Linked DNA regions of Cricetulus griseus. Each later gene encodes a partner of the first gene's protein in a complex. Links are inferred from orthologs where the notes say so. Each region holds a gene or a part of one and is shown in the gene's direction. Other genes may lie near its edges. The genes, in order: Gtf2f1 and Polr2h.

Region 1 (15,280 bases):
GCAAAAACATTCTCAGGGGCTTCTTCAGCCAAGATCTAGGGGAGAGGAAGCCATGGGGTCAAGGGTGCAGCCCATGGCAAGAGCTATGCTCCCATAACCCCTTTGAGGCAAGCCCTGATGTGAGCAGGTTTGCAGCCTGGGTGGCAGCAATGGGTGTGGGGGCAAGTAGAGACCCCATGGATCCAGGCATGAGCAGGAGACAGCAATTTCCCATGCTTGTTTCTCCCAGGGATGAGGATACCACCAGCATCCCTTATCTAACAGACCCTTGTGCTGACACTAACTCCATCTCAGCATGTACTGAGCCAGACATCTGGGCACCACCAGGGCCTCAAGGCTACACAGGTGGCAGCATTGGGGGGCGGGGGGCCCACTCTAGCTTTCAGGAACTGCAAGCACATCCAGTTGCTCACACCTATCAGTGCTCAGGAGACTGATGGAAGGATTATATGAGTTCTAGGCCAGCCTGTGCTGCCCTACCGAAATAGGATCCCCTCATTACAAAGTGGGGAAAATGGCAGATCCAGACTAAGCAGGGTTCCCTTCCGGGTACCCACATTTCGCAGAACGTTCTTTTGCTGGTAGAAGGTCAGGACAGGTTCACACAGGGTGTAGTGTGTCTCCAGGCGCTTGCGGATGGCCGGCTCTGAATCATCTGCTCGGTGCTCTACCTGCCCTCGTTGCAACACTCTTCTCACCATGGTCTCCATGGAGCAGTCAAACACCATGACTATGTTGGGGGCCCTGCCCACCTAGGCAGTAAGTAACCCAATAGGACAGGGTGAGGAGAGGGTCTTGCACAGATTCCCAAGAGACCATGAGCCTTTGGTGGAGCACACCTTTAATCCCAGCACTCGGGAGGCAGAGGCAGGCGGATCTCTGTGAGTTTGAGACCAGGTCTCCAGAGCGAGTGCCAGTATAGGCTCTAAAGCTACACAGAGAAACCCTGTCTCGAAAAACAACAACAAAAAAAGCCAGGCAGTGGTGGCGCACTCCTTTAATCCCAGAATTCAGGAGGCAGACCGAGTTTGAGACCAGCCTGGTCTACAAGAACTAGCTCTAGGACAGACTCCAAAGCCACAGAGAAACCCTGTCTCAAAACAACAAAAAAACATTTTGGAGCCTAGCATGGTGGCACATGCTTTTAATCCCAGCACTCAGAAGGCAGAGGCAGGTGGATCTCTGATCTACAGAGCAAGTTCTAGGACAGCCAGAGCTACACAAGGAAACCCTCTCTCCCTCTCTCTCTCTCTCTCTCTCTCTCTCTCTCTCTCTCTATATATATATATATATATATATATATATATATATATATATATATACAGGGCCTTAAACTTCCAGAATCCTACCTGCTTCTGCCTCCCCAGGGCTGGGATGAAGGTAAATGCCACCATGCCTGGTTCAATACACACTCTTGACTGCTGAGCCATTTCTGCAGCCTACAACCTTGCTTTTTTGAAGGTCTCTCACTGGCCTAAAACTTTACAAATAGGTTAGGCTGGCCGGCCAATGAGTCCCAGGGATGCTCCTGTCTCCCCTATTCAAGAGCTGAGATCAAGTATATACACCACACCCAAGTTTTTATGTGGGCTCTGGGCATGGAATTCAGGGCCGCACACTTGCAAGGCTAGCGCTTTGTGGACTGAGCCATATCTTGTACCCTTTGGTTTGCTTTTGGAGACAGGGTGATGAAATCACCGGCACACACAGCCACACTGGGTGTGTTCTTTTTCATTATTTATTTTGAATCAGGATCATGTATATACCCAAGGTCGAGTAGGTCATGTGTATATCCAAAGCTGGCCTTGAATTTATTTTCCTCCTGCTCTACCTCCTGAGTGCTGATACCATAAAGCCGGTTATTTTATTATTCTATTTTGCTTTTCTTTCCTTCCTTTTTTTTTTTTTATTTTTAGATAGGGTCTCACTATATAGTCCTGGAACTAACATTGTAGAGCAGCAGGCTTTCTGATCCACCTGCCTGTTTCCCAGGTGCTAGGGTTAAGTTTGTGTGCTACCTCACCTGGCCCTGATTTTTTGTTTGTTTGTTTGTTTTCCTTTTTCTTTTGGACAGGGTCTCATGAAGCAGGCTGCCCTTGAACTACCCATGTAGCCCAGGATGACCCTGAACCCCAATTGTCCTGCTTCCACCTCCCCAGTCCAGTGCTGGGATGACAGGTGTGCACCACCATGCCTGGTTTCTTGCTTTCTGTGGGGACAGGGACAACACCAAAGTCCCTTATCTTCCACACATCTTTAGCTGACACTAATGGAGTTTCACATCTACACAGGGCTTAGGGATGGAGCCCAGGACTTGGAATATGAGAAGCCAGTGCTCTGCCCTCTAAGCCCAGCCCCACCCAACCCAAGGCTTGATTTGTAGTGTGTATTGCACTACATTTGTAGTGGGCATTGCATGTGCAGAGTGTATAAGACAAACATGTAAAAGGATGAAGGTTCTCTGTGCCCAATCCTCACTCTAGGCAATGAGGACACCTGCTGCCCAGACCACGCCCCCAGCCCCTCACTGGGGAATTCTAGGCAGGGCCTCCATCCCTGAGCCATATCTCAGCCCCTCACATGGGGATTTTATGGGTGTTAGAGCACCACCAGGCCTCATCAAGTTTGGGTTTTTGTTTTTTGTGTTTTTTTTTTCTTTTTTTTTTCTTTCTTTCTTTCTTTTTTTTTTTTTTGTTTTTTTTTGGTTTTTTGAGACAGGGTTTCTCTATGACTTTGGAGGCTGTCCTGGAACTAGCTCTTGTAGACCTCGAACTCACAGAGATCCGCCTGCCTCTGCCTCCCGAGTGCTGGGATTAAAGGCGTGCGCCACCCACCAATGCCCGGCTGTTTTTTGTTTTTGTTTTTTTAATATTAAGATTTTATTTATTATGTATTCAACATTCTGCTTCCATGTATATCTGCACACCAGAAGAGGGCACCAGATATCATAACGGATGGTTGTGAGCCACCATGTGGGTGCTGGGAATTGAACTCAGGACCTCTGGAAGAGCAGTCAGTGCTCTTAACTTCTGAGCTATCTCTCCAGCCCTGTTTTTTGTTTTTCGAGACAGGGTTTCTCTGTATTGCTTTGGAGGTTGTCCTGGAACTTGAGCTGTAGACCAAACTCAGAGGTCCACCTACCTCTGCCTCCCCGAGTGTTGAGATTAAAGGCGTGTGGCACTAATGCCCGGCCATTCTTTAAGTCTTCAAGACAAAGATTTATTCTGTGTGCATATCCTAGAGTACACCCATAGTGAGGGCTCAGTGGAAGAGTACTCGTTCTTGGAGAGGACCCAGCTTCCACATGATGGCTCACAACCATTCTAAGTCCAGTTCCAGGGGATCCAACACCATCTTCATACCTAGACCTCAAAAGCAGGCCAGCCAGGCTTATCTGTGGTGGACATACATACATGCATGCAAAACGCATATGCATAAATTTAAATCTCTCTTTAAAAGGAATTAACTATTACCTGTCCAGCCAACAGCTTGCTGTGATGATGCAAGCCTGAGTCCTAGAGTTCAGTGGGCATAGGCAGGATTTCAGGGGCTTCCTGGCTATAGAGAGACACTGTCTCTAGAAACAGTCAGAAGACAAACACAAGCCAGCCAGACAATGCTGCCTCACTGTCATCCTAGCGCTAGGGAGATAGATCAACATCAAGGTCATCTTTGGGTGCTTGAAGAGTTGGGGGCCAGCCTGGGCTACATGAGACACTGAGGACTGAAGCTGCTCCACCCTGACTCCCAGCCCACAGTTCCCTTGGGTTACACAGTTAGTTTCACATTTTAAAAATTTGTGACTGATATTTAAACAAAGTGTGGGGGGTGCTAATTCTGCATCCCAGCTCCCAGCTTCTCTTAAAACCACTGGCTTGGTAATGTGGGGCCTGCAGGTCCCCATGGCAACAGCAGTGGGAATGCTTCCTGAGCCCATTGGCAACACAATGCATGAATAAATTCGCCCTCTGGAATCTTCCATGGCTCACACCATCAGCATCTATGTGTGCTTTTGAATATGAAGGCCAACAGTACTTTCCACTGTTGTTCCCCACCTTAGGGTTTTTTTTTTTTTTTTTTTTTTTTTGGTTAAAAAAATTTTTTTAAGTGTATGAGCCAGGTGGCGTTGGGACATACCTTTAATCCCAGAACTCGGGAGGCAAAGGTGGTGGATCTCTAAGTTCGAGTCCAGCCTGGTCTACAAAGCAAGTTCCAGGGCAGCCAGGGCTACACAGAGAAATCCTGTCTTGAAAAACAAAACAAACGAATTTATGCGTGTAAGCATTTGCCTGGGTGAGTTTATGTGCACCATATACACACACAAGTCTGTAGGGGCCAGAAGAGGACATCAGATCTCCTAAAACTGGAGTTACAGATGGTTGTGAGCCACTAAAGAGCAGTCAGTTCTCTTAACTGCTGAGCCCTCTGCAGGCCTGTTTTGTTCAATTTATTGTTTGCTTTTTTGCTATTTTTATTTATATCTCATGTATGAGTCCAAGTATACCTGCATGCCAGAAAAGGGCTTCAGATCCTATTATAGATGGTTTGAGCTACCATGTGTTTGCTGGGAATTGAACTCAGGACCTCTGGAAGAGCAATTGGTGCTCTTAACCATTGAGCCATCTCTCCAGTCCTGTTTTTTTTTTTTTTTTGTTTTGTTTTGTTGTTGTTGTTGTTGTTGTTTGAGACAGCTGAACTCTCCATGTAGCTTGGGCTGGCCTGGAAATCATAATCTTCCTGCCTTACAGGAAGGTCACAGGCCTGCCTCTCTATGTGGCCTTCTAACTCTTACTGCACATGTGTGGGCTGGGGGTGGTGGTGGATGGGGCAGAGGACACGCCCTGGTCACAGCCCTGGGTTCCACCCTAGGCATATAAACCAGGACTGGTAGCACAAGCTTGCCATCCCAACACCCCAAAGGCAGAGGCTGGAAGGTTAGGACTTCAAGGTCAGTCTATCCTAGTTAAGAGTTTGAGACCTGCCTAGACTATGAGAGCTGAAGGAAGGAAGGCCTCCCAGCCTCAGGCCCCATCTCATCATCCACTAGTGCTTTAAGGGGAGTAGAGAGAAGGGTAGCATAGACCCCCCCCCACCCCCCCCACCCCCCACCCCCACCCGCACCCAAGGCACACACACTCAAGGACACTTTGGGGTCGGGGCACTCACAATCCGCTCAAACTCTTTGGCCTGTTCCAGCTCTCTGGGGAAGCCATCGATGAGGAAGCCTCGGCTCTCTGGATGAGCCAACATGTTGTCACTGACCATGTCCAGGATGAGACCCTGAGAACAAAAGGGCACGGACTCAAGACTCAGTGCCCAGGACCTGCCACCCCAGAGAGGCCAGGTGCTACAAAGGTCATTCAGTTTGGAACTCATGTGAGACAGAGGAAAAACCCAGCACCTCAATCACTGGCTTCCTTTCTGCTTGCAGGCTTTTCATTTTTGTTTTTAGGAGACAGGGTCTCTCTGTGCAGCCCTGGCTGTAGTAGAACTCATAAACCAGGTTGGCCCCAAACTCATAGAAACACGACCGCCTCTGCCTTCCAAATACTGAGATTAAAGGAGTGCACCACTGCCACTTAGAGGTTTGTTAGATCCGGGTGTTGGTGGTGCCTGCCTTTGATCCCAGCACTCGGAGGCAGAGGTAGCCTAGTCTATTGAGTGAGTTCCAGAACAGCCTCCAAAGCCACAGAGAAACCCTGTCTCGAAAAACAAAAAAAACAGTTTATTAGATTTTGGATGGATGGTGGTGGTGGCACACACCTTTAATCCCAACACTCGGGAGGCAGAGTAGAAGAATCTAAGTGAGTTCAAGGCCAGCCTGGTCTCCAGAGCGAGTGCCAGGACAGGCTCCAAAGCTACACAGAGAAACCCTGTCTCAAAAAACCAAAAAATAAATTTTTATTTTGGAGCCTATCCTGGCACTCGCTCTGGAGACCAGGCTGGCCTCAAACTCACAGAGATCCGCCTGCCTCTGCCTCCCGAGTGCTGGGATTAAAGGCATGCGCCACCAACGCCCAGCAAAAATAAGTTTTTTTAAAAAGTTAAGATTTTTTGGGGCAGTGGTGGCACATGTTTTTAATCCCAGCATTCTGGAGGGAGGTGTATCTCTGTGAGTTCAAAGTCAGCCTGGTCTACAGACTGAGTTCCAGGACAGCCAGGGCTACACAGAGAAACCCTGTCTGGTGGAAACAAACAAATAAAAAACAAATAAAACAAAAGTTTATTAGAGCTCTTTATTATGGATCTAGTTGCAGGGGATGTTGTATGTGCCACAGCACCTGTGGGGGCAGAAGACAAGCTATATTGGTTCCTCCTTCCTGTGCATTCAACTAGGTTGTCAGGCTTGGCTCAAGGGCCTTCACCCACGGTGCCATCTCTCTGACCCCTGGCATGGACTCTCTAACGTAGTCAATACCATCAAACTCATCCTCCTGACTCCACCTCCTGAGTACTGGGTTGTCCAGTGTCTACCCAATTTCTGAGGTGCTGGGATGGGACCCAGGACTTTGTGCATGCTCTACCAACAGATCTTCCCAACAGCCCTCATAATGGCTTTTTTTTTTATAAGAGTTTTATTTGTATGAATGTTTGCCTACATGGATGTCTGTGCATGTGTGCAGAGCCCTCAGAGCATAGAAGAGGGCATCAGGTCCCCTGGAACCAGAGTTACCGACAGTTGTGAGCCAGCATGTGGGTACTGGGAACCAAACCCAGGTCCTGGGCCAAAGTAGCAGGTGCCTTTAACTGCTCCCACATCACAGTCTTCTCATGACAGTGTCGGTATGACAAGGCAGTGCCTGGGCCAGGACACCCTGGCTTCCTGGGGACTGACTCTGTGTTGTCTTGCCCCCCTCTCCCTTTAACTCTCACCGTGGGCACCAGGAGTCCCTGCTGCATGATGTCCCGGATCTGCTGACCCCGCCGGGTGCACCTCTGAGCCTCCTCCCGCAGCAGCTGGCCCAGCCCCACGTGGCAGAAACCGTACTTGGTGGCCATGTTTCTGCACTGTGTCCCTTTCCCGCAGCCAGGGCCGCCCACCACGAAGATGATCAGGGGAGACTTCAGGACATCTGTAGTGTTCATGGAAGACAGTGGGTACTAGTGCGTGTCTTCAGGGTGCCCTGGTCTCGAATCGAAGGATCCCAGTGCTGGGATTCTCTTGAGCCATTTGCACAGACCTCCTTGGAGCACCCTTGTAATTCCATCACCCCATTTTACAGATAATGAAAGGGAGAGGCCCTCAAACTCACGCAGCCGCACCCTGCTCAGTCCAGCATGCGGTGGTCCTGTCTAACCTACCTGCTTACGTCTACAGTCACACCTCCCCCCGTGCTGGGGTCAAGCGTCCCAGCTTGTCCTCCCCCTGCCTCAGACCCCCCTCCCCCCATGCATTCCATAGTCAGCCATGGTTCTTTCTCTCTTTCGGCTCGCTTTGGTCCTCCTAGCCAGCCTCTGTAACCCAGGGTGCATGGCCCTTGATGGTGAAGAAATGAATGTCTCTGCTACCAACCGTGGAAGTCAGTAGCCGTTTATGGTTCAAGGTTTGTGCCTGCCTTGTCCCTCTGCTTAACCAACTCCTATGCATCCCTCAGGCCCCCGTTCTCTGAGCCCTTCCTCTAGAGCTGTAATTCCGCAGGCATCCACCACTGGGGGGGAGAGGGCATGCGCAGCTGCGTTCTTGCCGCGTTAGTGTGAGCACACCCGCACGGTGGGTGGGATACCTGCTCCCACGCCCCGTCCGCCACCCGCGTAAGCCAACCACCCCACCACGTTACCCTTCTCCTGGGTCCTCAAAGTTCTGCCCACCTGGGGCAGCGTGGACTGGCACAGACCCATGTTGCCCGCATGCCGGAGTACGCGGGGGCCGGGTTCCCACCTGCCCCGACCCCTTGGCTCCGCTCGACGTCACAAGGGGCTCATTTTTGCAAGATGCCCGGAATTCCCCCCGGCACCCGGGGCACAGAAAACGGAATCCCAGCCCCCCGCCCCCCCCCCCGGAGCCCCAAGAGTCCTCTCGCGGAGCCGGCCGCGGTTGCTATGGCAACGCGGCCTCCGCACCCGCCACTGGCACGTTGGCGCATGCGCAGGAGTGCCGAGGACGCACTCGCCAGAAGACGCCACTCCCACCCTGCCCAGGATGCACCGCGGTGCCTGAGCCGTGACGTCACGAGGGGCGTGCCCACGCGCCGTGAATAAATCACTCGCGCTGGCGGCGAGAGCGCTAGTCAGAGGCTGGAGACCGCCTGAGCTAGGTGAGTGCTGAGGTAGCTCCCACCCCGGTGTGGCAGTTCTAGTTCCGGGTCAGAGTCACGTCTTCTTGAGACTTAAGGGTTTGGAGACACAAAACACAGGATCATACCAACGTAACTCCCGGGCAAGTTGCCTTCCCCGGGACCGAGGGATACCACGAAGAGCATCGGATCACGCCGCCCCGGAACCGCTTGAGCAACGGCCATGGCGACTCTAGTGAGTATGAATGAAACGGAGAGGCGGGGTGGGGGTGGCAGGACAGATCCACGGCCTCTCCTCGCCTCACAAACCCGTGCTTCCTCTGCAGAGCCCCGGCAGCCAGAACGTCACCGAGTATGTCGTCCGAGTCCCCAAGTAAGTCACCCACACCCACCACACGCTCCTCGGCCCGGTGGTGGCTCCGTGCAAGTCACAGTAACAGTCACACCGTAGTTAATGTCAGGCTCGATGACTCTGTCCTATTTTCAGACGCTCAGGCCACACACGGTGGCTGCGTTTAATCCGGGAGACAGAGGGAGGTGGATCTCTGGGAGTTTGAAGCCAGCCTGGAAGCCAGAGCGCGTTCCAGGACAGCCAGGGCTACACAGAGAAACCCTGTCTCGAAAAAAAAAAAAATTCCCAAACTTAGATGAATGCGAGGCCAAGTAGTCCACCATTAAGCCATACCCAGCCCTCTCTTATTTTGAAGACCAGTCTTACTGTGTAATGTAGTTCTAGCTGATTTGACCAGGCTGGCCTTAAACCTACCAAGACCCTCACACACCTCCGCCTCTTGCCTGCTTGATCTCCTCTTTTTCCCAAGACAGGGTTTCTCTGTATTTCTTTGGAGTCTGTCCTGGAACTTGCTCTGTAGACCAGGCTGGCCTCAAACTCACAGAGATCTGCATGCCTCTGCTCCCCCCTCTCCCTCAGGTGCTGGGATTAAAGGCACTTGCCACCACTGCCTGGTGGCCCACTTTTTCTTTTATTATCTTTATGTGTAAGAATGTTTTGTCTGAGTCGGGTGTTGATGGCACACGCCTTTGATCCCAGCACTCAGGAGGCAGAGGCAGGCGGATCTCTGTGAGTTCGAGGCCAGCCTGGTCTCCAGAGCTAGTGCCAGGATAGGCTCCAAAGCTACAAAGAGAAACCCTGTCTCAAAAAAAAAAAATGTTTTGTCTGCATGTATAGTTATGCACTGTGAGCATGCTGGGGCTTCTGGGTGTGGCTAACTTCTGATAGGGTTGGAGGAGATGGATCCATTTTATTTTATTTATTTATTTATTTATTTATTTTTGATCTAGCTTCTTAAACAAACTCTGGAGCAGTGGTTCTCATCCTGTGGGTTGTAACCCCTTAGGTTCAAATGACCCTTTCACAGGGTCTAAGACCATTGGACCATTGGTCTAATTAGACCAATGGTCTAAGCCTAAGACCATTAGAAAACACAGATATTTACATTATGATTCATAACAGTAGCAAAATTAGGAAGTAGTAACGAAAATAATTGTGTGGTTGGGGATCACCCCAACATGAGGAACTGTTTTAAAGGGTGCAGCTTTAGGAAGGTTGAAAACCACTGCTCTGGAGCTTTTATGAGTTCCCAGAATTACCTACAACCAAGGGGTGTAATCATGGTGGATTTTTTGAATGACTAATCAGTAGACTGAATTTTCTCTTGCCCATTCCAGGAACACAACCAAAAAGTACAACATAATGGCTTTTAATGCAGCTGATAAAGTCAACTTTGCTACCTGGAACCAGGTAAGTCTATAATTCTGGGTGGCTGGGGCAGAGGCCTAACTGGGTGGTGGTTACAGTCATCACTTTCTTGAAGTGGTGGCGGCTACACTTACAACCCTGGCAGATGTGTGGTTCCAACCATTTGGAGGTGTGGTCTGACTACATAAATCCTGTCTCAAAAAAAAGCAAGCCTGGGTTGTGGCTGGTTAATGGAGCATCAACTAGCATATAGCAGGCCAAGTAGGACCCCATGTGTGCTGGACTTGGTAGCACGTGTCTATCATCCCAACACAGGCATGCGGTATAGGTTCTTAAATTGAAGACTATCCTTGGCTATGAAGTGAGCTCAAGTGAAGACTAGGATACCTGGACCATGCTTTAACAAAGACAAAGTATGGCGGGCGCTGGTGGCACACACACTTTTAATCCTAATCCCAGCACTAGGTGTCAGAGGCAGGTGGATCTCTGTGAGTTTGAGGCCAGCCTGGTCTACAGGGAAACCCTGTCTTGAAAAACCAAAAAATAAATAAGGAAATTTTAAAGGCCAAAGTTTTAAACTGTCCACTATTCTGGGTGCCATGTTAAAATGCTATATCTCCATATTGTCTGGTTGCATCTGAGCTATCCCCTGGTGGACACCGCCTGTCTCTGTGGTCTTTCTAAGGGCCCCATTCCCTGGAGTCCCTTTTGTGTGTGACATTTCGTGTGTGCACATGCACTTGTGGGCATGTGGTGCATCTCAGGGCCAGAGGTTGACAACAGGTGTCTTCTTTAGTTACTTTGCACATTATTATTTGGATGACATATGTTAGGCCACAGATGAGTGTGGGACACAATTTGGAGATCAGAGAACAGCTTTCAGGGGTCAGTTTTCACCTGCCTGGGTCTTGAAGTCTAAGGCTTCGCAGGCAACACTCTCTCACAGACTTTCCTCATGAGTTTCTGAGTCAGGGTATCCCACTGAACCTGGGCTTGCTGACCAGTGAGTTCCAGGTACCCTCCTGTCTGTTCCTGCCTGCTGGGGCCTCAGATGCATGTGGCATTGCCCAGCTTTGTTCCTGGGTACTGAGAATCCAAACCCTCCATTCCTGATGCCCAGAGCATATGGAATCCAGCAGAGGGAGACAGAAGGGTGTTCCTGTGGGGCCTGAGGATCCATGCCTGCTGCTCCCCCAGGCCCGGCTAGAGCGAGATCTGAGCAACAAGAAGATCTACCAGGAAGAGGAAATGCCAGAGTCCGGAGCAGGCAGTGAATTTAACCGAAAGCTCCGGGAGGAAGCAAGACGAAAGAAGTATGGCATCGTCCTGAAGGAGTTCCGGCCTGAGGACCAGCCTTGGCTGCTTCGGGTCAATGGCAAATCGGGCAGGAAGTGAGTGGTACTGATGGTGGGAGGGAGGGCCTGCCTGTGTCCCTCACACATGCACACTGTGGGGGCATCCTCTCTGAATCTGTTCCTAGCATGGTGGGGTTAGGGGGGGTCCCAGTACCACCTCCCTTATGAAAGTCTGATCTGGGATAACCCCTTGGGAGAGGGTAATCCATGGCAAAGGAGATAGAGTCTCATGGAGTCAGTGACAAGTATTCTATGCACAGTAGCCATGGTGGGTTATAGGTTGGGAGTAGGGCACAGTGCAGCATGACCCAGTTCTGAAAGCAGCCTTGAAGATGGTGGCCACAGGTCACATGGTGACTTGAGTGGTGATTTGTGCTAAGGAGATCGTGGCCTGTGCCCTTCTGTCCTAGGCATTCATTCCAAGAAAGCCCAAGTGGGTTCTGAGGAGGGGCAAGTCCCTGTGTGTAGGTTTGTGACCTGACCGTAGGCTCTCCACAGGTTCAAGGGCATAAAGAAGGGCGGAGTGACAGAGAACACAGCCTACTATATCTTCACTCAGTGTGCCGACGGTGCCTTTGAGGCCTTCCCTGTGCAGAACTGGTACAATTTCACACCGCTGGCCCGACACCGCACACTCACTGCTGAGGAGGCCGAAGAGGAGTGGGAGAGGTGAGCCACAGGGGTCGTACTGCAGAGAGCCTTGCAGCAAATCCACTTGGTGCAGGCAGCTGGCTGGCCTGGGAACCAAGTGAGGGCTGGCACCACTAATTGGCCTAGCCTTCCCATGACAACTGCTTCACTTCTTGCCTAGGAGGTAGAGTCCAGGAAGCTGGGACAGAGAACTAGGGAGGCCCAGCAAAAGGTGTCCATAGAAGGTTGCTGGCTTTTATGTGATGTGTGTGGTTATTCTGTACCTGCCTGGAAGCCTGGACCAGTTCTCAAAGGGCCAGGACCGAAATGTCAGAAGCAGCCCCTCCCCCACACATAGTCTTATTCTAGACATGTATAGACGGGTCCACAACAGCTCCTTGTCCAGTGAGACCCCTGGTCTAAGTAATCCATGAGATAAATTAATTGTTGGGGATGTGGTGTGGGATAGTACGCATGCATACTGGTTGTCCTAGCACCCAGAAAGCAGAAGCAAGAGGATCAGGAGTTGAAGTCCATCCCCTGCTCTGTATTAAATTTGAGGTCAGCCAGGGTTATATGAGATCTGGTCCCAAAACAACACATGGTGTGACACATGCCTTTAATCTCAGCACTCTGAAGGCAAAGGCAGGAGCATCTCTGTGAGTTCAAGGACAGCCTGGTTTACAGAGCAAATTCCAACTCAGCCAGGACTATATAGAGAGACCCTGTCTCAAAAAACAAAACAAAAAGACATAAAGGAATATTAATTAGCTAACATTAGTGGACAGCTGGTTTTAACTGGAATAGACCCTGAGCCTGGAGGAGCTAGGATGTGGGGCTCCCTAGATGCTCAGTTACACATGGCATCTCAGGGCTCACCGTGTATGGTTTCAAGATTTGGGGATCTGAAATGGCCCAGGTTGCCTAGTCTGCCCCTTTTTTTTTGTTATTGGTTGGTTGGCTGGCCGACCAGGGACACAAGGGCTGCCTAGAGCTTGCTGTATGGTTCACTTTGATGACTCCGGGGTCTTCCTGCCTTAGCCTCCCACAGAGGCCATCCTGTTATGTCCAATTGAGTGGCCTGGTCACTGTCTTCCACCATCCTTACCCAAGCAGCTCCTTTGCTGTCCCCTGCCGCCTCCACCACCCGCCCCAGAGTGCTTAGTCTCTGTCCCCATGTGCAGGAGGAACAAGGTCTTAAACCACTTCAGCATCATGCAACAGCGGAGGCTCAAGGACCAGGACCAGGATGAAGATGAGGAGGAGAAGGAGAAGCGCAGCCGCAAGAAGCCCAGTGAGCTTCGCATCCATGACCTGGAGGACGACCTGGAAATGTCCTCCGATGCCAGTGATGCCAGTGGCGAGGAAGGTGAGCGGGTCCCCAGAGTTTCTAGTTCAAGGACAGGGCCACCAGTGAAGCTGCATGGTCCCTCTTGAAATGAATGGCAGCTTAACAGAATTTCCATGGGATCAGTTTGTCTGAATGTTCTAAGGGTGCTGTGCTGCAGGTCACAGGCCTGGGTGACTGAGTGACAGGACTGGTGGAGTGGGATGAGGGCAGCGGGCTGAGTGATTTGCACAGGAGGGATAAGTGCCTAGGCTAGCCTTCTGCTTTCTCTACAAATTGGCCTAACCTGAGGTGCAGTCTCCTTGTCAGGGAATAACATATGAAGACATACCACAGATGGTATGCTGGCTGTGATCCCAGACCATAGGCCAGAGTTCATAACCAGTCCTGCCTGGCTATATGGACTCCCACCTTAAAAAACAAAGGTTTTAATCCTAGCACTGCAAGGCAGAGGCAGGTGGATCTGAGTTCAAAGCCAGCCTGGTCTACAGAGCAAGTCCCAGGACAGCCAGGTCTGGCTACACAGAGAAACCCTGTAGCAACCTCCGCCCACCCCCTCCCCCCCCAAAAAAGAAACCAACCTAAAAAAGGGTTAGTTGGATGGCTTAGGGGTAGAGAACCCTTTACTGAAGTCCCACACAACACAATGATACAAGGTAGGGGTTGGTGGCATGGCTCAGGTGGAACCCCTGCATAGCCGTGAGCAGTGCTCTGGGCTCATCCAGACTGATTCCCCTCCTGTATCTTTTTTTTTTTTCATAGGCAGCAGAGCCTCTAAGGCTAAAAAAAAGGCCCCAATGACCAAAGGGGGCAGGAAGAAGAAAAAGAAGAAGGGCTCAGATGATGAGGCCTTTGAGGACAGTGATGATGGGGACTTTGAGGGCCAGGAGGTGGACTACATGTCAGATGGCTCCAGGTGAGGCAGTTCGAGGCAGTTCGAGGCAGGCCTGAGGCGGGCCTATCTATGGTCATCCATCTTCATGTTTGCCCTTCTCTACTTCACAGCAGCTCCCCGGATGAGACAGAGGGCAAACCCAAAGTGCCGCAGCAGGAGGATGGCCCCAAGGGTAGGTGTCAGTTAGGGACCAGCTGGAGATGGGGGTCCACTTGCAGCCTTCCTGCTCATACCTGTGTCCCTAGGTGTGGATGAGCAGAGTGAGAGCAGTGAAGAGAGTGAAGAGGAGAAGCCTCCTGAGGAAGACAAGGAGGAGGAGGAAGAGAAGAAGGTCCCCACTCCACAGGAGAAGAAACGCAGAAAAGGTGTGTAGGTACTTAAAGCTCGGCGATGATGCCGCATTGTACTGCTCTCCTGGACCTGCTCACACCGGTGGTGGTGGTGGTGGTGGTGGTGGTGGTGGTGGTGGTGGTGGTGGGCTCGGTGGCTCGGTGGGCTCGGTGGGCTCGGTGGGCTCGTGTCGGGGCTCGGTGGGCTCGGTGGGCTCGGTGGGCTCGGTGGGCTCGGTGGCTCGGTGGCTCGGTGGGCTCGGTGGGCTCGGTGGGCTCGGTGGGCTCGGTGGGCTCGGTGGGCTCGGTGGGCTCTGCTTATGACCCTCCTTTGGCCCATGCAGACAGCAGCGATGAGTCAGATAGCTCAGAGGAGAGTGACATTGACAGTGAGACCTCCTCTGCACTCTTCATGGCGGTAAGGCAGATCCCCGGGATGGGATGGGATGGGATGGGAGTGGCAGTCTGAGCCTTCAGACTTACACCCCAGTCTTTGCAGAAGAAGAAAACACCCCCCAAGAGGGAGCGCAAGCCGTCGGGCGGTAGTTCTAAGGGTACCAGTCGACCAGGGACTCCTAGTACAGACGCAGCAAGCACCTCTTCCACCCTGCGGGCTGCAGCCAGCAAGCTGGAGCAAGGTGAGTACTGGCAGAGCCTGCCCTGGGGGAAATGAGAGCTGATGGCAGCCCACACATCCTTCTGTACACTGGGTGCCCCATCTGCCCTCCCCACCCCACCCCCCAACATTCCTCTTTCCACCAGGGAAGCG
Region 2 (15,257 bases), on another chromosome or scaffold:
TGAGAATGAAGATGACCAGAGTGAGAAAGACATTGGCACGTGGTGGATTCCAGGCCTGTGAAGTGCTGGGTAGTTGTAGATCCTCTACCAGGCCCTGGCGGACCCACGTCCGGTTGTCAAACAGAGTGACTAGGGTCTCTTTCTGTGAGAGCTAGAGTAAACAGAGTGCTTTAGGCTGGGACACAGGACCCCAGGAAGAGTCCCATAGGAGTCCATGGAAACACGGGGTCGCAGTCATGCTGGGGCTGTTGGCTTTGGAAAGGAATGCATCTGGGTGAGTGGGGGGGGTCACATTTCGGCTAAGGGCTACCTGTCCAGCCATGAACTGTCCAAAGCCAGGGGGGAAGGTCAGAGTGGAGATGAGCAGGGTCACTAGTGCCGGGAAGAGCAGCCGTCTAGAGATGGAGGTTTTACAGCATCAGACAAAAGTCACACACCTCCCATGGACTGATCATAGGCCAGGTGCTCTTATATACCTCAGGACTAAGATCAGAGCAGGGCTTATATATCAAGGTACAGTGCCTGAGAGTAAGTCCTTTTTTAAATTTAAGATTATTTATTTATCCATTATGCATACAGTGTTCTGCCTGCATGTATGCCCTGCACACTACAAGAGGGCACCTGATTTCATTTTAGATGCTTGTGAGCCACCATGTGGGTACTGGGAGCTGAACTCGGGTCCTCTGGCAGAGCAGCTAGTGCTCTTAACCACTGAGTCATCTCTCCAGCCCCCGAGAGAGTAAGTCCTTTTTTATTGTGTTTGATGCCACAGCTCCAAGTGTGATGGTGGATTGGGATTATTATAAGAGCTAGGAGTGGAGGGGTCCTGCCCTAACCCCATAGGGGGCAGCAACAGCAAACCCATCTCTAGCCCTGTTTTGGAGAAGTCTGAGCTGAAACTGCCTCAGCTCTCAGAAGCCCAGTTGAAGGGCGAGTGGTATGAAGGCTTAAAGAGGCCTCTACCACTGTCTGCCCTCAATGGTGACCTAAAAGAGAGCATTGTGAGCTGAGTGTGGTAGCGCACGTCTTTGATTCCAGCACTGGGAGGCAGAGGTAGGTGCACTCTGGAGATCGAGGCCAGCCTGGGCTACACAGTGAGACCCTGTCTCCAGAGCGAAGGCGGTGGTGTAGAAGAAGCTCTGAAGAATGCCTTCCTGTTCCCAGTTCTCAGGCTCATAACGCAAAGAGCTGTGTTCTGAGATAAAAAATATCCATCCACACTGGTCATGGGGTAAACTGAGGTACAAACACACTGTCTGCTATCTGCATGAGGCCTGAAAACCTTGGCCTTTTATGTCAAGTGCCCCTGCCCCTGAGTAAAGTTCAAAAGTAACAGATCCCAGGTGGCTGCCATGGATACAGGTCATAGCATCAGCAGGAAAACATTAGCTGATTAGCTACCTTTTACTCTTTCATATGAGAGACCTAGTGTCACACTGTAGCCACAGTGGGTTTAGACCTTGCTACAATCCTGCCTCAGCCTCTGGAGTGCTGGGATTATAGGTGTGTGGCACTGCACCTGGCTGAAGTGCCTGATTTTGACTGGGCCTCTACTTCAAACCCTCAATGCCTCTCCATCTCCCCATGTGGCCCTTAGACAACCCAGAGCAGCAGAGAAAAGAGTGCGCCACATACTTCCTCATGAGGAAGCGGTTGATGGTTTTTTGCTTCCGCATCACCTGGACAATCTTCCGGTTCAAGTAGACAAAGAGGGCTCCCCCGAAGCCACTAGCAATACTGGAGAAGAAAGAAGTACCAGGGTAGAGGGGAGGCCTTCTCATGGAAACCTCCTTGCTATCCCACACCCTCCTGTAAGCCCCTTACCCAATGACAGCAAAGGCTGGCAGTTCCTGTAGGTCAAAGGGGAAGTCCAGTCGGAACCGAGTTTTGAAGAGAGCAGTAATGGTTTCTGAAGGGAAGAAGTACAGGGTGGCAGGTAAACTTGTGTTCCACTTGCATTACCTTAGATGCCCTCACCGCCCCCAATATCCCCACCTTCATCACGGTTCCAGACTGCCAAGACCCGAAAGATGAAGGCACTGAAGGTGGCCGCAAAGAAGCCCCGCCAGTAGTTCCTAACAGCGAAGAAGGTGGAGGTGACCTCAATGCTGAATAGGACCCCTGCAAGGGGCAGAGGACATCGCCCTTGAGGCCAGAGTATGGCCTTCGGAGGACTTACTCCCAGGAGAAGAGGGGTTGAGGAGGAGAGGCCAAATGTGGGGCTAGGCTATGCTGACTGGAGCCACGCCTACCTCCGATAGGTGCTGCAAAGCAACAGCCCACTCCCACTGCGCATGCAGCAGCCAGCATCTCTGTGTTCCGGGATTCGTTCTGGCAAGGGTGGGGGCACAGAGTCAGTTTGGGCTCAGCGGTTACCCCCCCCCCCGTCAGATATTAAGGTTCTCCTTTTACCTCATAGATGCCCCCAAAGAGGGAGAGGAACTTGCTGAGAAGGGCAGCACACATGCTGGCAATGTGTACAAAGGGTCCCTGGTGGTAGGGGTTGGTTGTGAGTAGGGACAGGGCCTTCCAGACCTTGCCTGGCCTTTTCTTCCAATGGGAGGGGCTCCTTCATTCCCCAACCTGCAATTACCTCTTTGCCAAGGGGCATCCCACTGCCTAGGGCACAAGTTAGCCCAATGACCTTAGCTACAAAGGTCTTGAGGGTGAGGTATTCTTTTAGCACCACTCCCCGAAGGATGGTTTTCATCTCAGGGATGCCAGATCCTGCAGAGGTACATACCCAGGTAAGTCGTCTGACACTTTCATTCAGGAAGCTTGAGCCTCCCTCAATCCCTCCTATCCTACCGACAGCCTGTGGGGCCAGGATCTGGGTGAATCCAGCAGAGAAAGTGATGAGGACGACAGGGTAGGTAACCCAAGCCAGGTACTGGAGTAAGATGTTGGTGTTTAAGCCCCGGGACATCCATTGCTGAGCTGTGGGCACACGACATGCTTGCTGGACTTCTGGTGTACATATCCACACCTTGCCTGCCACTGGGACACACTGATATGACAAGTGTACAGAGCCGGGGCACAGAGAGACTGAAAGGCCCTATAAGGCCTTTCACTGGGACAAAGCCCATCATAGATAAGGCAGATGGAGGGCAGGCAAGAAGGTGTGGCCTGAGCAAGCGGCAGTAACTATGCCTGGAGATGGGCAGTCAGCCTGGCCAGACAAAGTGGCCAGTAGCCAAGTGACTTAAACAACTGTGGCATGGAGGAAACAGGTTGGCCCTTCCCAGCCTTTGCCCTCACCCTGTAGACAGACAGCGATGGCATAGTCCATGGCCCAACTGACCAATGCCATGAGGAGCCCCAACAGGACCAGGAAGATCCAGTCTTCACCAACCCTGGACACTAGGAACTTGTGGCAGCGTACAGAACAAACTGGAGGCAGGGAAGGGAAGATCCATAGAGAAGCTGGTACCAAAGTGCTCTTACTCATCCGTCTCTCCCCATCCCCCATGGGCAGCTCTAATGGTCTCTGCCTCCCCCAGTATAGAACAGTCAGGTCCCTGCCCCAATCCAGGTCTCACTGCGGCATCTGGCACATCGGCTTTGTCCATACTCCAGGAGCTCTGGGGGAGCTCGGGCAGAAGGGGACCCCTTCCAGGGCTCAGGCCCTCCCAGGCGAATCCGAGCAGCTTCCTCTTTGGCGAAGGCCCCAAGTTCCTGGGTGTACCGGCCATACATCTGGAACCACAGATAAAACATGGCATTAGCATGTGTGCCTGAGGTGGGGAATGCAGGGAGGGTTCCTGGGTTCTGACCCTGCTTTGCTCAGCTCCCACACTGTGTACCCCATCTTGAATCCAGTTCTCACTAGGCTCAGAGTGTGGGAACAATGCACATTGCAGACTGCGGGGGCTGTCCTGGCCAGAGTGATGGGGACAGACAAGGTACAGGGACACAACTCTGGGGGTGGCAGAATAATCAGTCCTCTTCTGGCGAGCCAGGAGTGAGGGCACTGGGGAGGAGAGGGAAGGGTCCAGAGGAGGGAAAAGATGGAAAAACCTAAGGCACAGTCTGAAAGTGGGAGGCAGGAAGGTCAGAGACTAAGGGATGGTCAAGGGCGTATGAGCAACAATAAGAGGCTGGTGGAGCTGAGAGCAGCTGAGCTGGGCCTAGGAGGTCCCAGCCCCAATCCTTATCACGTTCCTACTGGGCCTTTGGCCTGTGACCAACTCAGTGGCACCCTTCCCACCCACCCTAATCCCCTTGTCCTCATTCTCCACTCCCAAACCCCCATTAGCCCGGCAGCCCAGCTCAAAGTGGAAAGCCTCTTTGGGTGGGTAAGGCAGTGTTGGGTGATTTCAGTCCCTCTGGAACTGCACTTGGGGCCAGTGACAGGTCTTGGGGACAGCAGAGGTTGCAGATGGCAAGGCTGTGACTGTGGTACAAGGCTGATGGGAAGAGAGTTATGGCTGGACCTGCCAAGCTGGGCGTGTGTTGGGGGGTGGGGAGGAGTAGATTCTGGCTGCCACCCGCGGAGCTTCAAGACACAAAGGGCTCCTGTTGGGGTTGGGGTTTGTGTGTGTGTGTGTGTGGGGGGGGATAGACAGAGCTCGGGTGAGACACAGAGGAAAGGGAGAAGCAGAGGGAACGGAACTATATAGGAAAGAGGGAGAAAGACCCGAGAGCAGGGAGGAGGAAGAGACCAGAGTGTGGAAACACAGCAGGTGGGAGGAGGTGAGGGCCAGACAAAAGGGTAGGAGGGGAAGTGGGAGAGGCCAGAGCAGGGAGAGCTTGACCCTGAGAGCTCATTTCATAGACACAGGGAGATGGAGTGGCGGCTGGTGCAAAAGAGATACCATTTCAGAGTTTAGGTGCCTGGCTTCCATGGCCAAATGCCCCTCTCCTTGACCTGTGCATGGCAAGGATAACAGCCATTGCCAACAAAAGGGCTTGCCGGCACTAGCGTCACTCACACCTACCACCTCTCCCAGTCATCCAGTTTCATACAGTCTCTGGTAATTGGGCACCTCCCTGACTCAGTTACAATCCAGGCCCTCTCTCAAGGAGGTTCCTCCCTGACACCCTCCAGGGCAAATTCCAGCCCGAGCTGATAAAACGGAGCCATAGGGCCAGTTTCTTTCTGTAGGGCTTGGGCCCCCCACCCTAGTGACATGAGGGTGAATGGCTTCTTAACTCTTGACTTGCTATGAGTCATCTCAAAGCTCAGGACCCCTGCTTCTGATGAGGTCAAGGGACACTCCATGGGCGTGGGTGGTAGTGGTGGTGGGGTACCTGCCTAGATCCAGCTAGAACAAAGGTTCCAATTCTCACACCCATTCCTGCTTCCTGCATCAACCCTCAAGCTTCGGTCCCCAGGGTGACAAGCCACCTAAGCCAGCCACCTTTCCCAAAAGTTCGACTGAGGGGTTCTTGTCAATGCTGGACTTTGAGTCTTTAAAGGCAGGGGGTAGGTTTGGATTTGATTACTTCCCTGCAGTCTTTATGTCCAGCTTAATGCTGTGGCATAGTAGGGACACAGGGAAGGTGTAGAATGTGGATAGGCATTTGGAGAAAGTTCACAGGTATCGAGAAAGGGTACTGGGGTGCTGTAACTTGGTAAGTGGAAAAAACAAAATCGTGTCAGCCGAAGGGAGTAAGGGGAAGGACACCTGGGCCAAACACCTGGTGTCATTGTCCTCTCCAGGCCACCAGTCTCAGCCAGAAACCAGCAAGCAGCTTTCAAACACCCTGAACCTATAGCCTGTCGGATCCCGAACCTCAGTTTCCACAGCTGAGGAAGGCTGAGGCCGGGCTTGGGTAGGCCGCCTGTGCTCACACTTCCTAGGGCAACCTGCAGCAGTGGTGCCATAGCGCACCCCTTAGGTTTCACTTACCAGGGTCTGCTCATACTGCAGCGCCCGAGGCTCCATCCCTTCCCCCGCCGCCGCCGCCGCCGCCGCGGCCGTGGCGGCCGCCATCTCGGTGCACTGTCCTCTTGCCTCCCTTGGCTTCTCGGGCTCTGGCCTTGACTCAGCTCCCGGCCCGCTGAGCCCGCGCCCGCACCCGTCCCGTCCCCTCAGCCCCGGCGGCCGAGTGCAGAGTGCGACGGTCCCCGGGCGCGCGCCGCAGGCTCAGCCTCTCGCTAGCGTCCCCTCCTTGGCGGGCGGGCCGAGGGCGGTGCCCTGCTTGCTGCTCCGCCCTGGCCCATCTGCAGGGGCGTCCGGTCGGGCTGGGGTCTGCATTGGAGCCGCCTCCTGGCCTCCGGAGAAGCGGCAGGGGGCGCTTGCAACGCGATCTTGCACCCCTTCTCTGGGGAGGCCGGGGGCTGACCCGGCCCCGAGAGGGTGCGGGGCCGGACGGGGGCGGGTCCGCTGGCACGTGGAGGGGACGGGCTCTCGGGCGGCTGCAGCGTTGTGCGGGAGGGGCTGAGGATGTAGTGACTCCAGGGCTGGGGCAGGGGGCTGCTGACGAGCTATCTCGGGCTCTCCAGGCCAGACTCGACTGGGGCAGCCTCTGCTTCGCGTTTGCTGGCGGCTCAGACGGGTCTGGGAGGATTCCTGAGAGCCCGCTCCCTTATCGCCTCCCTTCCTCCTTTCTTCTTTTCCTCCGGGTTCCCCCGGGAAGGTGCACCTGGAACTGCTAGGCCTGGAGATCGGGGCGGAGGTGGAGGTGGGAGGGGACGGGAAGGGGTGAGGCCCGAGGGAAGGGAGCTATTGGTGCGGGGGAGGCTGCTCCTGGGAGGCGGGCGTGGGGGAGCAGAGGTCGCTCCTCCCAGGCATCGCTTAAAGGGGGAACTTGAGTAGCTGCTGACGCCTCGAGGAAGCGGCCCAGTGAAGCTCTACGTTGTCTTTCGGGATCCTTGGAAGGATAAGAACAGTGTGGCGTTGGCACAAAGAGGATGGACAGCGTTAGGTTGGTGCCACTGGAGAGGACGGTGCCCAGAAATCCGTGTAGAAAGAACAGCATCAGGATGAAGACTCATTCAGCAAACAGAGGGTGGTGCTCAAGGGGAGCGTACGGTGCCCAGTACGGGGGCTGCGATGAAAGGAGATAGCACCTGGAAAGAGCGCGCTGCGAGCTGTCGTTTCCCAGGGAAAGGCCAGTGTCGGGTGGAAGCGCACTGGATCAGTGTCCAGAAGAGGGTAGTGTAGTGGGGTGACAGGCAGTACCAAGTTCAATTGGCAGTGTTCTAGGGGATCAGAGTTAGTGCCAAGCAGGGCCAAGGGAAGACCGGCGTGGCGAGGAGGTGAAGCCCCAGGCGAGGGCACAATGCGGGCTTTCCTTTCCCTGACAGTGACATCACGGCAAATTCCCAAACCGGACGGACCCGGCTCGGGTGACGTCTAGCTGGTCAGAGCCAGCTCGGACCAGCGTGGGGAACCTTGGTGGCCGTCCGAGGGGCTGGGCACTGCGTCCCGCTGGGCGGGCGCTCTGCGGGTGGAGTTCGGCTTCACCCTCCTGCAGCACGGACTGTGCCCTCGGCGGGCACGCGGACCGCAGGGAAGGGCTAGGGCCGGGCTCCCTCTGGGCCAAGGATCAAGGTTCCTGGCTGGGTCCGGTCCCGGAGCCTTCCAAGCATCGGGATCCGGGGTCTGAAGAGGGCGCCCTAGAGCCGGGCGCATCGCGGTACCCGCCGGGGGTGGGACTTAGTCTGTCCCCGCCTTGGGCGGAGTCACCGCGCTTTGAGACTCGCCCACAAGGTCCGAGCCACTCCGAGGTGGCCTTTCCCGGCGGAAGTGAAGGAGCCCCGAGGGGAGGCAGCGGAAGTGGCTGCGTTGCTGAAGCCTGTGCGCATGCGCCCTGCGGCTGGTTGCCGCTTTTTGGGGCGGTACTCTGCCCTGTCTTCTTTTCTCCACGTGAGGGGGTGCGCGAATTCCCAGTGGTGGCCGCGCGCTCCGCACCTCTGCAGTTCTCGTGCCCCTTACGATGGCGGGCATCCTGTTCGAGGATATTTTTGATGTGAAAGACATTGACCCAGAAGGCAAGAAATTTGACCGAGGTAAGGTGTGTAGGGGAGGTGAGGAAGAGGCCAAACATGCCCACCCACCCCAAGTGGCCCGTCCCACCCTCTCGGTACCTCCCTCAGGAAACAGTGTTTTTCATAATGAGAAACTTGGGACAGCTTTTCCTATGATGTTTGCGGTGTCTGGTGCCTCGGTGGCCCTTGGCTTTGGGGTTGGGAAAGCCCTGGACACCTTTCTGACTCCTTATTCAGTATTACGTGCTGTATGTACCGTGCGCCTCTCTCGCACACTTAAGTATTGTAGTAAGAAGTGATGGTGCCCGATCTATTTTGTTACTTAAGGCCGTGCAGCGAGTTACCTCCCTGTCTTCCTAACCCATAGTTTTGTATTGCCCCAAGAATTGTTAGCCCTTTGCCGAGTCCTCTATAAATTTCATGCAGCTGACTGCTTGGTGTATTCATTTCCCAGTAATCCGGAAGTTGTTTCTTCTCAGTGTCACTTTACCTGGAGACAGACCCCCCCCCCCCCAATACAGATTCTCTTTGTAGCTCTGGCTGTCTTGGAACTTGCTTTGTAGACCAGACTGGCCTTGAACTCAGAGATCCACCTGCCTCTGCCTCCCAAGTGCTGGGATTAAAGGCGTGCCCCCCCCATTTTTAAAGACAGGTGTCAGTTCTCAATACACCCTGCCTATTCCCTCCGCAGAGTGCCTACTAGGAAGTGGGGATCTCTGGACTAATGACTATCTTGTTCAGAGTTGAGTTTAGTCTAAATCATCCAGGTGTGCTTAGAGCCTAGAGACGGGTTGCTGCCAGAGAAGTTCTGCTTCTTTCTTGGGATCCTGACACTTGCTGAGGTGTTTACTCCCTTTCTTCTCTGAATCTGATTTGGATTGCACTCTGTGTCTGTGTCCCAGAGCAAGGCTAATGGCTGTGGACTAGTTGAAAGATTTGTTCTCCTGCATTCGACCCCGACTCTGTTGCCTGTAATTATGTCTGTCGCTCTTTCCCAGTATCTCGGCTGCACTGTGAGAGTGAATCTTTCAAGATGGACCTCATCTTAGACGTGAACATTCAGATTTACCCAGTGGACTTGGGTAAGTGTCCAACACAGGAGCTAGCAAGTGAATTTTTTTGTTTGTTTGTTTGTTTTTCGAGACAGGTTTTCTCTATGGCTTTGGAGGCTGTCCTGGAACTAGCTCTTGTAGAACAGGCTGGTCTCGAACTCACAGAGATCCGCTTGCCTCTGCCTCCTGAGTACTGGGATTAAAAGCATGTGCTGCCAACGACTGGCTTTAGCAAGTGATTTTTATCTTTGGTTTCCGCTTGATGCTCTTTTCAGGTGACAAGTTCCGATTGGTCATAGCTAGTACTTTGTATGAAGATGGTACCTTGGATGATGGTGAATACAACCCCACAGATGACAGGCCTTCCAGGTGAGGCGGTGGTAAAGGAGGGACTAAATAGATAAGTAGTACATAGAATGGTCTTTATTTTACTGCTAGAAAAAGACATTACTGCACTTAGAATTCACACAACCAGAACTGGGTGTGATGGTTTGTGTCTGTAATTCCAGAACTCGGGAGATGAGGCAGGAGGATGAGGAGTTCAAGAACACCATTGGCTGCACATCAAATCTGAGACCAACCTGGGCTGGAGACCCTGTCTCTAAAAAATTTGAAAAAAATTTCAAACAACTGGCTTGATTACTTAGTGAGAGCAGTGAGTGGAAGCTTGTGAACTGCAGTTGTTTATTTATTTGAGACAGGGTCTCACTTTGTAGTCCTGGTTGGCCTGGACTATGTAGACCAAGCTGGTCTCAAACTCACAGATGACATCCACCTCCTCTGCCTCCTCAGTGTTGGAATTAAAGGTATGTACCACCACACCCTGCAAATGTAGCTTTTTTAAGGCCTAGAAAATGATTACATAGTAACCTAGATTTTGGTGTGACAGAAAGACTGTGGAGTATTGGGTCTGGTGGTACACACACTTAATCCCAGCATTTAGGAGGCAGAGGCAGGAGACCTCTGTGAGTTTGAGGCTAGCCTGGTCTACATAGCCAGTTAGGACAGCCATGACTATATACTGAACTTTTACTTCTCAGCTCCACTACTTCCATCTTCCATTTCCTTATCAATAAAGTACAGACAGTCATTTCTAGTTCACTGAATTGATGTGAAAGCCAAATAAGGTTGCGCTTCCATGGCATTTGTTGTTATCAGTTTCTATTTTAATTATTTCTATCTTTTTGGTTTTTCGAGACAAGGTTTCTTTGTGTGGCCGTGACTATCCTGGAACTTACTCTGTAGACTGTCAGGCTGGCCGAAAACTCACAGGCCTCTGTCTCTGCCTCTGCCTCTGATTCCTGAGTGCTGGGATTGTGCCACCATGCCTGGCTCAGTTTCCATTTTTAAATGTCTCTTACACTATTGATTGCTGTGAAAAGTAACTTTGCCTATTGTTTGTAGGGCGGACCAGTTTGAGTATGTCATGTATGGGAAAGTATATAGGATTGAGGGGGATGAGACCTCAACCGAAGCGGCGACACGTCTGTAAGTAACATTGTCTGGCTGTTAATAATCCAACCTCCCTGTTGTGAAATTGGGTCATGCTTCTCCTTCTGTATCAGGTTCTTTGTTTTTTCTAGTACCCGAAGCCGGGGTGGAAGAATTTGTTTTGGGAACAGTTTCTAGTCTGAATTTTGATTACTTACATCACCTGCTATCAGGATTTCAAGGCCCTGTGGCCCACAGGAGACTTTGGTAATCTTGCTTCATGAGGGACAACAGAGAACATCTTGGGGGATCACAAGCAGCATTTCATGACTAGGCCTTTTTATTTTTTACTTGTGTATGTGTTGCTACTCTGTAACCCAGACCTTGGTTCTTTAGTTTCCCTGCCTAATTTTTCTTTTTCTTTAAAATTGGTTTTAAATGCCGGGCAGTGGTGGCACACGCCTTTAATCCCAGCACTCGGGAGGCAGAGACTAGTTCCAGGACAGGCTCCAAAGCCACAGAGAAACCCTGTCTTGAAAAACCAAAACAAAATTGATTTTAAAACAATATGGTTGTTAGAATCTTGAAGCAGAAAATTAATGTGAAAAAGAACAAAAGTCACCTAGGAGGACGTTTTTTACAATTTAAATAGCTGGTGTGGTGCACACCTTTAATCCCAGCACCTGGGAAGTAGAGGCAGGTAGATCTCTGTGAGTTCAAGGTCAGCTGGTTTACAGAGTAAGTTCTAGGACAGCCAGAGATAGTGAGACCCTGTTTTGAGAAAACAAAAACAAGCGTTGGAGTGGTCTAGCTGTCTTTTTTCTTTTCTTTTGTTTACTTTTCCCTTTAAGATCCTTTATAATGTTTTCTTTTTTTTTTTGTCTAACATACTTCCCTTGTCAGGTGAAAATTCCCCTCAATTTTATTTTATTTTATTTTATTTTGAGATAGGGTCTCTCTATGTAGCCTGGGCTGTCTTGGAACTCACTATGTAGACCCAGGCTGGTGTTGAACTCGGGAGCTACTTGACTGCCTCCTGATGCTGGGATTAAAGACATGTGCCACCCTCCTGATTCCTTAGCATTTTCAAAAAAGTATTTTTTTATTTGTGTGTATGCATGCACGTGGGTGCTTATATGTGTACCATGTGCAGGTATGAGACCACCAAGGTCAGAAGGGGGACATTGAACACCTTGAAAATGGGGTTACAGGTGGTTGTAAGGTGCCATGTGGGTGCTTGGGGGTGGTGAATCCAGGTCTGCATTCTTCTCTCCAGCCCCTACCTCAGTATCCAATAGCTGTATAATATTGCAATGAATGGTGACACCTTCATTTGTGTGAACAACATTGTAATGAATGGTGACACCTTCATTTGTGTGACTACTCTCCTATTTTGGGCATAGCAGCAGCGTTTACTCCTCCACTAGAGTAAACAACACTGCTTTGTGCATATCTGCATTCAGGTTTGTCCCAGTCTTTGGTTCCTAATGACAGAATGCTAGGGGAGTGCCTTTAAAAAAATGGACGGAGAGCTGCTGGGAAGCAGCTGCTTGAGAGCTCAGACTCAGGACCAGGGACCTTCTGTTTCAGCTCTGCCTATGTGTCCTATGGGGGCCTGCTCATGAGGCTTCAGGGTGATGCCAACAACTTGCATGGATTTGAGGTGGATTCCAGGGTGTATCTGCTGATGAAGAAACTGGCCTTCTGAACCTCGTGGGAAACCAGCCCTGCTGCTTAGTCATTCAAGTCATGGACACTGTTCGAACCTGAGTAGAAGCTGGCGTTGCTGACCTGTGAAAGGAACTGGCTCTGTGTCCACTCTGGATACAGCTTCAGTTTGTCTGAATTCAGTGGAAAAGTGACTTGTCTGTAGAAGGTGCAGCGGGAGAGCGCAGCATGAATCTCAAGTTGTGTATGATTTTTTTTTTTTTTAAATTAAAGCTTACTTTTTCAGACTCTTCTCTTGAATTGGGGGTGGGGTCATCCAGGGTTTACTTTTGCTGTCTAGCCTAGGCTGGACTTGGACTTGATCCTCCTGCCACTGTCTTCTGAGTTTCTGGGATTGCTCACACCTGGCTTATGCAATGCTGGGAGTCAAAACCAAGGCTCTTTTGTGTGCAACAAAGGAGGTATCTTCCCCCCCCAGTGTGTGTGTGTGTGTGTGTGTGTGTGTGTGTGTGTGTGTGTGTGTGTGTGTGTTTCCACCATCTGTGTCCTGGGGGTTGAACTGAGGTTCTCAGGACAAACTCCTTTACTCACTAAGCCTTTTTTTTTGCTGACCCCCAGTTGGTCTCTTGATGCCCTGGGTTTCTCACAGGAGCTGGTGGCCCTGCTGGGATGCCTGGGGTGTTTCCTTTCCCGTCTTTTTTTTTTTTTTTTTTTTTTTTTTTAGTCTTTACAAGAGGTGTTAGAAATGGTGTAGTGTTTAGGGAAATGGGTTGAAAATGAGTGGCCTCAGCGGGGAAGAGCAAAGGTTTTTTCTTTTTTCTTTCCACAGTAGGGTGTGTGTGACATATTGGGGGTTGGGATGAATCTTAATAGAATCTTTTAATCATCCCATGGAGTCAGGTTTTGGAGGGGGAGACCCTCATTAGAAATAAGTGATAGAATGTCAAGTAGACAGTAGGCTGTTCCAGCATAGGAAAGGGGGACTTAAGTAGAAAAGCTTTCAACATTTATTTGTGTGTGAGGGGGAAGATAACTTTGAGAAGTCCCTTTTTGCTGCCGTGTGAGTCACCTTCAGTGGCTGAGCCATCTTGCTATCATAATCCTGTTTTTGTGTGTATGTAGGGGAAGAAGTGATAGAATCAGCTGCACAGAATCAATTTGGTTTAGACTTTTCGCTTTGGTTTTGATGGTGCAGGATCAAACCCAAGGCTTACTAGGCAAGTGTCATGTCACTGAGCTGGTTCTTCAGGCAACGTTTAAAAGTTTTAAAGGTGGAATAACACCTGAAATAACAGCTGAAATAACAGCTGGTCATATAGCCAAGGACGACCTTGAACTTGTGATTCTCCTGCCTCAACCCCACAAAGTGCTGCTATTATCAGCATGCACCGTCATACCTAGTTTCAGGGTCAGTCTTTTTTTTTTTTTTTTTTTTTTTTTTTTTTAAAGATTTATTTATTATGTGTACAGTGTTCGGCACCAAGTCTCATTATAGATGGTTGTGAGCCAATATGTGGTTGCTGGGAATTGAACTCAGGACCTTTGGAAGAGCAGGCAATGCTCTTAACCGCTGAGCCATCTCTCCAGCCCCCCAGGGTCAGTCTTAAGAGGGCAGATTTCAGATTGGTTTACATTGTAGAAACCAGTTTCTCAGATTAGCACGTATCAGATGCCTGGAGCGTTAGCTATGTCGCAGCTCAGTATCCTCACCTGTCTTCTGACCGATGAGAAGCTGAGAACCCACATTTTTGGCTGGCTTATCTTGTTCAGAGTGCCAGCTCTTCTGTGCTGTAAAGTGTTTGGCTTGATGATTGTGGCTTTTGTTGTTTTTGTTTTTGTTTTTACTGTGCTGAGGATTGAACCCCGGACTTTGTGTGTGCTAGGCAAGAGCCCTGCCACTGAGCTATGTCCCTGCCGTAATACAAATTAATTTTTGAGATACAGTACAGTCTTTTGTAGTCCAGGGTGGACTCAGATTCCTTATATAGCGGAAGGTGGCCTTGAACTCCTGATCCTCCTGTCTCTGCCTTCTAAGTTTTGAGTTTACAAGCATGTGCCATCATGTCCACCTTTTTTTTTCCTTTTCAGTTTTATTTGTGTGTGTGTGTGTGTGTGTGTGAGATGTGTGTGAGATGTGTGTGTGCAAGTGTGGACATCAGCATGTGGTGGCATGCATAATGAGGTCTTAAGACAACTTTTGGGAGTTGGTTCTTTCCTTTCCCATGGGTTCCGGGCATCAAACTCATGTCAGGTTTGCACATAAAGCACTTTCACCTACTGAGCCATCTCACTTGCCGTAAATTTATTTTTAAATGTTAAGTTTAACCTCCTTCAGTGTTACAACAAACTACAAACTATACTGAATGATCCTGGGATTAGTCGTGTAGATGAAACTCTCTCCTGTGTAGAAACTGACAGTGCCTTGAGATTTTGATACCATTTTTTAGCTTCATGTATTTGTGGACTCCTGGTTCTGCCCCCAGGGACACCAGGAGATGTCTGAATTGTGACTCCCACCACAAGCACTTGTCTTCTCCTCAGAGCTTCTTAAGAGTGTATTTAGCCTCCAAGGACGTGGACGTCTCTGCTTTGCATAGGCTCACTGAAGGACATATCAGACAGGGCACCACATTGGGTTAGATGAGTGGACTGCCACTCAGGCTGGGGGTCATTTTTCTGTCTGAAGGCTGTGTGACCAAGCCCATCTGGCCTTGGTGTGTTCGTTCATGTGTAAGACAGATGGATAATAATACCCACCCTACAGAATTGTGGGGGAGACTCTGGGGCACCTGTTGCCTCTGTGAAGAATACCTTTCCTTTGCTTTTTTTTGTGGCAGTGTTTAGAACTCTGAGAGCCTTCTTGCTGCCCACATGGTGGCCTTTTCTCCTTTACTCTGGGACAGGAGTGAGGAAGAAGCCTCCAGCAGCTTTCTCACAGACTGTGGTAGCAGGTTAACCCTGGCAGTACACTTTTTGTTTTTATGCAACGTAAACTTCTAGCACCAACAAAGCACTTGCTTGCAAAACCCCAGGAGTCTTGCCTTCATTTTGGGGGTTCCCAGTAGAGTTCATGGTGGCCACACAAGGCTGCTTTTTAGGTGCATTTGTGGAAAGCAGAAAGAGCCACTGCCCAGTGCTTGTCCTGCTGTGTGAGGTCTGGAGCCTAACTC

Evidence for each region.
Region 2: Gtf2f1 (region 1) and Polr2h share a complex: the UniProt entries of both Homo sapiens proteins name them as parts of the TBP-based Pol II pre-initiation complex. The link is inferred for Cricetulus griseus from reciprocal best matches to the Homo sapiens genes GTF2F1 and POLR2H.

Annotation. Positions count from the first base shown.
Region 1 is NC_048598.1:96,539,579-96,554,858, forward strand, and holds the start of Gtf2f1 (general transcription factor IIF subunit 1), read left to right. Parts: upstream 1-8,192; 5' UTR 8,193-8,457; coding exon 8,458-8,469; intron 8,470-8,554; exon of another isoform or gene 8,555-8,560; coding exon 8,561-8,607; intron 8,608-9,923; coding exon 9,924-9,996; intron 9,997-11,074; exon of another isoform or gene 11,075-11,079; coding exon of another isoform or gene 11,080-11,151; coding exon 11,152-11,345; intron 11,346-11,807; coding exon 11,808-11,978; intron 11,979-13,123; coding exon 13,124-13,308; intron 13,309-14,049; coding exon 14,050-14,203; intron 14,204-14,292; coding exon 14,293-14,354; intron 14,355-14,427; coding exon 14,428-14,547; intron 14,548-14,855; coding exon 14,856-14,929; intron 14,930-15,010; coding exon 15,011-15,149; intron 15,150-15,273; coding exon 15,274-15,280. Other genes in the region: adenylate kinase isoenzyme 1-like, read right to left, coding at 1-35, 558-752, 5,167-5,280, 6,874-7,073, 7,779-7,839. UniProt on the Homo sapiens protein: TFIIF is a general transcription initiation factor that binds to RNA polymerase II and helps to recruit it to the initiation complex in collaboration with TFIIB. It promotes transcription elongation.
Region 2 is NC_048597.1:67,927,242-67,942,498, reverse strand, and holds Polr2h (DNA-directed RNA polymerases I, II, and III subunit RPABC3), read left to right. Parts: upstream 1-7,542; 5' UTR 7,543-7,884; coding exon 7,885-7,957; intron 7,958-8,934; coding exon 8,935-9,018; intron 9,019-9,263; coding exon 9,264-9,357; intron 9,358-10,392; coding exon 10,393-10,476; intron 10,477-12,009; coding exon 12,010-12,127; 3' UTR 12,128-12,374; downstream 12,375-15,257. Other genes in the region: Clcn2 (chloride channel protein 2), read right to left, coding at 1-151, 311-395, 1,636-1,737, 1,825-1,909, 1,996-2,121, 2,253-2,331, 2,413-2,490, 2,594-2,727 and 4 more. UniProt on the Homo sapiens protein: DNA-dependent RNA polymerase catalyzes the transcription of DNA into RNA using the four ribonucleoside triphosphates as substrates.